Mus musculus: one gene and its partner. The protein of the gene in region 2 interacts with the protein of the main gene of each other region in a biochemical or structural test. Links are inferred from orthologs where the notes say so. Each region holds a gene or a part of one and is shown on either strand. Other genes may lie near its edges.

The links. The genes of interacting proteins can lie anywhere in the genome.
Region 1: the proteins of Trim7 (region 2) and Rnf187 interact in a test that uses a peptide from one of them, tested with the Homo sapiens proteins (2 studies listed by BioGRID, with this or other methods). The link is inferred for Mus musculus from reciprocal best matches to the Homo sapiens genes TRIM7 and RNF187.

Annotation. Positions count from the first base shown.
Region 1 is NC_000077.6:58,936,105-58,940,366, forward strand, and holds the start of Rnf187 (E3 ubiquitin-protein ligase RNF187), read right to left. Parts: upstream 2,803-4,262; 5' UTR 2,681-2,802; coding exon 2,291-2,680; intron 1,129-2,290; coding exon 1,036-1,128; intron 1-1,035.
Region 2 is NC_000077.6:48,836,115-48,840,274, reverse strand, and holds the start of Trim7 (E3 ubiquitin-protein ligase TRIM7), read right to left. Parts: upstream 2,805-4,160; 5' UTR 2,749-2,804; coding exon 2,230-2,748; intron 1,911-2,229; exon of another isoform or gene 1,650-1,910; intron 1,615-1,649; exon of another isoform or gene 1,561-1,614; coding exon of another isoform or gene 1,558-1,560; intron 1,439-1,557; coding exon 1,343-1,438; intron 510-1,342; coding exon of another isoform or gene 480-509; exon of another isoform or gene 435-479; intron 41-434; coding exon of another isoform or gene 1-40. UniProt on the Homo sapiens protein: E3 ubiquitin-protein ligase that have both tumor-promoting and tumor-suppressing activities and functions in several biological processes including innate immunity, regulation of ferroptosis as well as cell proliferation and migration.

The sequences.
Region 1 (4,262 bases), about 10 Mb from region 2:
GATTGGAAACAGACACTCCTAACTGCACTCAGATCTTCGTCCTGGCCCTGGGTCACATAGCACAGGGGACACCCATGTTCCTGAAGGAAGAATGTTTTTGCTGAAAGGACATAAATGCCAGCCAGATAACAGCTGTCTGGCCAAGCTCCTCCCTCTGACCGGACCCCCATCTTCGTATTTAAATCTTCTAGAACCTATCCTTGGAACTGCTGTGGGCTTGTAGAAAACTAGGTGTCCTCAATGTCTTCCAATTTTTGTGAAAGGTAGAGCAGGTGCCTTCAGCCTTACGGCGCAGACCATCTGAGGGCTTCAGGGTTTCTGTAGTCTACAAAAACACTTTGGTTTTATGTTTTAAAAAAAATGGGCAGGGAACTATAATGAATTTTAATATATAAAAGGAAAAGTTTGCAGGGTTTAAACTAATGTGTGGTTTTGTTGACAAGTAACCTAAAAACAAAACAAACAAACAAACAAACTGTAACATAATGTCATCTTGGTGTTTAATGCCATGGGTGGTATCAGGTGAAGGCTAGCTAAGTACCAAATCTTGTGTCCCCAAATCTCTGTGCTGAAACCTCCAGGCAATGGTGTTAAGTGGTGGGCCTTTGGGATGTGGTTAGTCCCACCAAAGAGACATGGGATCAGTGCTCTAGTAAAAGGGACTCCCAAAGAGCCCCCTCCCCACTCTCCATGTGCCAACACAGTGAGAAAGGCCACCGGAAGCTAGCCCCAACTTGGACTTGCCATGGCTTGCCTGTTGGACTTCCAGCCTCCAGGGCAATCATGTGTGTGGTATTGTGTGGCAGCCAGAAAACAGAATGTTCTACTGGTAACAGCTGGGGTTGGTCAGAATCAAGAGTACTAGAAAGTGTCCTGTGTAGAAAAGGAACCTGAAGCTCACAAATCATCCTTATATAAAGCACACCGAAGAGAGGAGCCCTACGGACACTCAACTCACCAAGTCCAGCCAGCCAAACTCCAGCAGCTCAGCTTGGTTGCCCTGCTAGCTCCCCATATCCAGGAGAGCCCACTTACCTTCCACACAGCAGCCGCTGATTCTGCCTGACCATGCAGGTCCCGGGCATCATTTAAGTCCTTCCTCATGATTTCCACAGAGCCCTTGTTCTCCTGGGAGAGAGAAGCTGGTTAGAGCCTGGGAAGAAGGATTTGAACACCCCGATCAGCAGTCTGGCGACTGGAACTACTCGTCCGGTCTCTGCTGGAAAGTGGTTGTTTCGTAAAAGGGTCTCCTGTGCTTCTACCTCTTCAGAACTAGGTGTACAGCAGGCAATTCAAGGTCAGCTGTGTGATTCCAGGATTTTAGGTAGGTCCCCTTTAGTGTCAGCTTGATTTAAGACAGTGACTTTCCTGACTTCTCTGTGTCCTGCTTGGTCTTTGTGGAGATTGCTGTCTTAGTAAGGGGACGACAAACCATAGGACAACCCCAGCAGTATGTTCTGACAGAGTGTATCTACCTCAGTTTGGGACCTGGATGTAACCACAGGCCTCCACCTCAAAAGTGTTCTTCACAACTTATTCCAGAGGCTCATGGTGCATCATTGCAGAACATAAGGATAACAGCACCCTCAAACACGCTAAGCTACGATTTTCTCTCCTGTCGGGCGGAGACCACGGCTTTCCTACCTGGCTATTCAGACATCTCTCTCTGGGTCAGGGATGATACTCTATCTAGATCCCTGCAACCCATCTTCACACAGAGTCTAATAGTCGGTTTCTGCCCGGTGGCAGGTGCTACGTGCAATGACCAAGAGAGTATAGCAGAGAAGGTTCCTGAATGAGGTGGACCGACAGCCCCTCAGAGGGCTGCAAATGGTAACTGGTAGACCAAAGACCACTCTCAGGTCTCCATAAGCAAGTGGATGGGCGGGGCTTGCACCGATGAAATCACACCGGGATAGGAGCAAGAGGCCTTGAGGAATGGGATCGGGACTTGAGGGGAATTCGAGAAAAATAGAAGTCTTAAGGTTGTATAGAGATAAGGCACAGCTAGGCCAGAGACCTGGGATGAAAGGGGGACGGAGGAGCATGCGCTAGAGATAATAGCTCGAGGGACATAGCAGGGTCCGGGAGACAGATAATAGAGATGAAGGAAGGCAGAATCACGGACTCCAGGATCCAAGAGCCCCTAGCATGGCAGGGTCCCCGGGGAAGGGAGGGTGCTGGGCACCCATGGGATGCGGGAGAGGGAAGAGGAGGTCAGCACACTGATCGAATGCCTGACTCCAGGTAAGCCACAAAGGTGGACAGTGTGCAGGGGCCCCTCGCGCACCTTGCCGCGCAGGGCCTTCCTCCAGCGCGGTTCCCACTCCGGCGGCTCCGGGCCAGCGGCCATGCGGCAGGCGGAGCACAGCGGATCCCCGTCGGCGCGACAGAGCAGCTGCAGCGCGGCCTCGCTGGCAGGGCCATCGCGCGCCGGCGCCGCGGCCGCCTCCTCGAGAGCCAGGAGGCGGCGGCTGAGCGGAGGGCGGCTGGGCTCTACGGCGCGCTGCCAGCAGTCATCGGCACACTCCGGGCACGGGAAGGGCCCGTCCTCCTCGGCCCAGAAGCGCACCACGCACGCCCGGCAGAAACGGTGGCCGCAGTCGGCGCGCACCGGTTCGCGGGGCGCGCGCTGACACAGGGCGCAGATGGCATCAGCTGGGCCCGCGGGGAGCGCCAGGGCTGCGGGCGGCGGCGCCGACGAGGGCGCGGGCGGAGAGGGCGCAGAAGGGCCGAGGACCGGCCGGAGATCAAGGCCGACGAGCCTCAGCCTACGACTCAGACCCAGACTGCGCCAACGCCGGGCACGCGCGCGCGCGGGGCGGGGTCCTGGCTGCCGTGCGCTCTGACGTCCAGGTCCTGGCAGCTGCGCATTCCTCCATCCAGGTCCTTGCAGCTGTGCGCTCTCATTTCAGGTTCTGGTATTCGCTCATCGCCCTGCCCATGATTGAGCAGCTGAGCTCTCTTCCACACTGGTTCCCGTAGCAGCTCACGACCTTTGTCCTGATGGTGTCAGTCGCGGGCTCCAAACCCAGATCCTTACAAAGATACTCCCTGTGTCCTATAAGATTACTCATCCTGCAGGGTACTGCCCCAACATCATGAATAATTGCCCATCTCCCACAGATAATTTGGGAGGTGGTCTGTCAGGAAAGGCTTTTCCAGGGTGACTTATCGCTATACCTTCAGCCCTGAAGCAGGATAAAACTGGCTAGGTAGGCAGATGCCTGTGTAGTCAACCAGGAGTATGACCAAATTAAGATAGCGACATAAAATGAAGTCAGGGAGTCTCACTGTGCACACAGAACAGCAGCACGTTTTGCAGGAAAGCACTCTAAAGAATATTGTGTTAATACAGCTGTAGTCAGCTATCTGCAATGTGTGACTCTTCAGACTGAGATTGCGGATATAACTGTAAATGTGACTGTGGTGGTTTGAATATGCTTGGCCCAGGGAGTGGCACTATTAGGAGGTGTGGTCTTGTTAGAGGAAGTGTGTCACTGTGGCCGTGGGCTTTGAGACCTCACTCTTAGCTGCGGGAAACAGTCTTTTGACTGCCTTGGATCAGGATGTAGAACTCTCAGTTCCTTCTCCAGAGCCTTGTCTGCCTGGATGCTGTCATGCTTCCTGCCTTGATAATGGACTGAACCTCTAAACATGTAAGCCAGCCCCAGTTAAATGTTCTTTATAAGAGTTACACTGGTCATGGTGTCTCTTCACAGTAATGAAACCCTAACTAAGACAGTGATGTTGCCATTTATATGCTCCAAACACTATGGCAGCAGCCACATCTGTACTAAAGCTATACAGCCCTTTTCTGGTCATTATTTCCTAGACAATAGAATGAAGATTTGCACAGTATTCACATCCTGTTAAGTATCATAAGTCATCTAGGAAAAAAATATTACATAGAAAGATGCATGTAAATATTATGATGTTTTAGCTGGGTATAATGATACATGCTTTTAATCACAGCACTTAGGAATTAGAGCTGGCAGTTCTCAGTGAGTTCCAGGCCAGTTTGTCTACACAGTGAGTTTCAGGCCAATCAAAGCTATATAGTAAGACCCTGTCTCAAAAATAAATAAATAAATAAATAAATAAATAAATAAATAAATAAATAAAAGTGTGTGTCTGTGTGTCTGTGTCTGTGAGTGAAAGAGAATTGTGTATGTGTGTGTGTGTGTGTAAGAGAGAGAGAGAGAGATGTGATGTGTGTAAGAGAAACATTTTATCTGAGGGATTGGAGTGTCCTTAAATTG
Region 2 (4,160 bases):
ACCAAAGAGGTGGAACAAAGGTCTGGATGGGTGAACTCTGCTTTAGGAAATGAATGGTCAGATGTAAAAGTCTGGGATGTCCAATAGCTACAGATATAAAAGCAGTTAAGGATAAGGGGAGGGCCAGGCATGGTGGCACACAGCTTCAATCCAGCACTAAGGAGGCAGAAGCAGGTGGATCTCTGTAGGTCTGAGGCCAGCCTGGTCTATGTAGCAAGTTTCAGGGTAGCCTGGGCTATAGAGAGATACCTTGTCTCAAACAAAACAGAACAATAATAGCAACCACATAGGGCCCAGAAAGGAGCCTGTGTATCTGAGTTTCATGGGCTTCCCTTCCTAACCTAAGGGCTTAGGGCTGGTGAAATAAATATCTCAACAGGTAAAGCTGTTTGGCTCATAAGCCTGGCAACCCCAGTTCAATCCCTAGAATTTACCTTAAGGTAGAAGACAGGAACTGACACAAAGTTGCCCTCTGACCTTTACAGGCAGACAGTAGCCCATGCACCCAACTATAGAAACACAAATAAATAGATAGGTAAATAGATAATTTTTTAAAGCATAAGAGGGTCCCTCCAGGCCTCCCCTCTGATCCCAGTTTCATAAACAAATGACCTTGCCTTAAAAGGCACTCGTGGTTCCTCCTTTCATTCTCAGGCACCTTTGAGCCAAGAACTGAATTTGTGAGGTAGAAAATGATAGTGACTCGTGTTTGTCCATAGTAACCAAAACAAGTCCCCAAGCCACAGTGCTCTGCCAGGAACAGCTCTGATCCCTCCTCAGCATCAGCACAAAGGGCTTCTCTGTGCAGTTTTGCTATCCTGGAACTCATGCTGAAGACCAGGCTGGCCTCGAACTCACAGTGATCTGCCGGCCTTGACTCAATGTGCTGGGATTAAAGGAATGTGCCCCCACTGCCCAGCCAGAAACCTCTAATTCTTAAATTAAAGCTCAGAAAACAAAACGTTTTCCTCACTGTTTTTTTTCCTCCTGTGGCAGAACATGCCTCAGGCATGTGTGGCTCCTCACCGTATGTTCCTACTTAATATGACGTGTTTCTGTGAAGAAATGCTAATGCATTCAAATTACAAGATGCTGCTACAGGTCCTAACTGGTTTGTTACGAATGACTGTGCACCCTAAAGATGAATTGAACAGCTCTAGTTTATATTATAAATTATATAGTCAACCTCTGTAATGTATACCATATTGTCTTTCTGAAATCCACCCTACTGTTTCAACCATATTCTCTCTCTCTCTCTCTCTCTCTCTCTCTCTCTCTCTCTCTCTCTCTCTCTCTCTGCCTTGGTCATCCACAACCCTATGCTTCTCACACTTGGACTCACTAGAAGCTCCTTGCTCTCCCTCTCCTCTGTTGACCGGAACGCTTCATAGTCTTCCAGTACCTTCTTCAAGGCCCTCAGCCTGGAATCCAGCAACTCCTGTGGTAGAAGGAAGACACGTGGTCAGAAAATTCTGGATACCCTCTCGTGTACTTTCCTAGAACCATCCAGGAGAAAGCCAAGATTCTGCTCTCAGGAGCAGGAGACTGGATAGATACCATCTCTGGCTATGGGGTGAACAGAGACTTGCAGACTAAGCCTATTGGTGCAGAACAAATGCAGGGGAACTCCAAAGGTCCGGGAGTCTCACTTCCTCAAGGGCATCAATCACGTGGTCTGCGGTGAGAATCGAGACTCCCACCTTGGTTCGGTCTATCTTATCTTCAGCTCTCCTCTCATCCTGTAGGAAGGCTGGAGCACAACAGGGCAGCAGAGACTGGGAGCTGCACACGCCTCTTGTGCCGCAGCCTATCGAGGGACAGACTAAAAGGGAAGATGCCCAGAACCAATGGGCTTCACAGCCCTTCAGACAGACCACCTAACCCAGGACGCTATTCTGTGTTCTTCCTCTTTGAACTTGGTACTTTGTGTAGTGCCACGCCCCTGGGAACGCAGTAGGAGTGTGGCAGTGGATATGTGGGCGTGACAAACAGAATTTCTCCTGGGCAGAGTTACATTAGCGGTTGGGGACAGACAAGATTTCAAGTCCCTGGGGCCATCTTCCAGGCCTCCAGGCATCGGGCTCTGAGGGACGAGAAGAGATGAGGGGAAAACAGTTTTAGAAAGAGAAAAAGGAGACCGGGGCTTTTCTGTAGGACCCTGCCTGCAGTCCGCAAGGAGAGCTGGGAGGGCTGGAGCAGAGCCAGGGCTCCGGGACATCCTGCACCCACCTTGGCCTCCTGCACCGCCTCCTCCAGCGGCAGCACGGCGTGCGAACGGTGCTCGCGGGCGCGGTCGCACACCACGCAAATGGCGCGGCCGTCGTCTTGGCAGTAGAGCTTAAGTTGCTCTCCGTGTTGGGAGCACCGCGCAGCCGCCGCCCGGGCAGGCACCGCTGGAGTCCCGCGCTCCCCGGGGGCGGTGGGGGGCAGGCTGAAGCGCCGAAGGAGCGAGGCCACCGCGGCCAGCTGTCGATTGGGTCGCAGCTGGCTGGGGCGCGCGGGCTCGCGGCACTGAGGACAGGGCAGTGGGCAGGGCAGCGTGCGGGTCGCCGTGCCGGTCCCAGCTCCGGGACGCTCCCAGCAGCGCATAATACAGGCTCGGCAGAAGCTGTGGCCGCATTCGACTGACACCGGCTCCCGGAAAAACTCTAGGCAGATGGAGCACGTCGCCTCGCCTTGGAGCTCTGCCGCTAGGGCCAGCGCCTCGGCTCCTGCGTTCGGCCCGGTCCGCGGCCCCACAGTCGCCATCCGTGTCCTTAGTACATTCGAGTCTTGTGGCTTTGGGGAGGTCCCTGGATGCTACTGTCCAAGCTGGGCTGAGCTCCGAGTACCCACTGGGCGAGGAGGGGCGGGGCCGGCAGCGGGCAAGCTGAGACGTGAGCCGAGGGTGCACCCAGCTGAGAATGGAGGCAGGTGCTGCCCTTTCTCTGGGTTCCCAAAGCCACCACCCTAGCCCCGATCTCCCTTTTGTCGACCCCCCTTCCACCGCCTTTCTAGGCCGCCCAGTATGGCCCAGTCAGCAGTAGGGAACTGTCGGGGACAGGTGAGCGCGCAAGGCCAGCTGGGCTCCACTCCCAGTAGCTGACCTAGGCTGACCCTGCCCTACAGGGGCAAAGGCCTGGCTCCCGGGACAAGGTGTCTGGTTCCCCGCATACCGACTCATCCTGGCACTGCGCTGAGCTAAACTTAGGGTCTGGAATTTGGCTCTACCTCCTCATCCCAAGCGTGGCCTTTTGTCCACTTTTGTAACTACATCATCTCTTACAGTTATCCCTTTAATTTTGAACAAGTAATACAGCCATTTACCCTCATTTCATTCAGAATCCACACCTACCCCAAATCCCTCTGTCTCTCCCCAGCTGGTATACAGCTGGGTTCCAGGGACCGTTTTGTTTTTGTTTTTGGAGTAGTTTTTCTATCCTTTCATTCTGGAGGCCACTTGGGTCAAGCTTCTTTCTCTGCCTCTCTCAAAACCTCTCTTGTCAATGTCTCTATCCACTCGCCCAATTCTAACCGAGAGTTGCAAACCTCACCTCTCTGGTGTGTCTGTCCTTCCTCACAGCATTTTCTCCTCGCCACTCGGGATGCTACCACCTCCATTTCTCTCCGGTCTATGACCTCCTACTTTCTTCTTGGGTTCTAGAGTCCCCCACTCGGCTCCTTGCCCTGGTTCAATCCCCCGGCCTCAGTCACCACACTCTACAATCGCTTCCATTTTTAAAAAATTTTTTTAACTTTAGAGAACCCTTTCAGAGCCCATGTCTCCACAGTATCCATCAGAGCCCTCTGCTCAAACCCCACCAGTGAGTGGCTGCTAACTCCCAGGAAAGAAGTTGAAGTCTTCATAATAACCTCAAGGCTCTTGCTTGACTCTCCTCTTCCACCATGGGACGTTTTAAATTTTCTGCAAACTCACCTACAATTATTTTGAAGATAAGGAACATTATTAGGTCAGTTGAAGAAACAAGTGAATCCCTGGACTAAAGAATGGCCACCGGTTTCAGGCACAGGACAACTGATGGTGAGCTAAGGCTCTTCTGGTTCACCAAGAACTCAGAGTCATGACATCGAGGACCTTCGGTGATGTGTTATTTGCTGGGCCTGGTGGCACAGACCTGTAAATCACAGCGTTAAAGGGCACGGGGTCAGGAGTTCAAGGT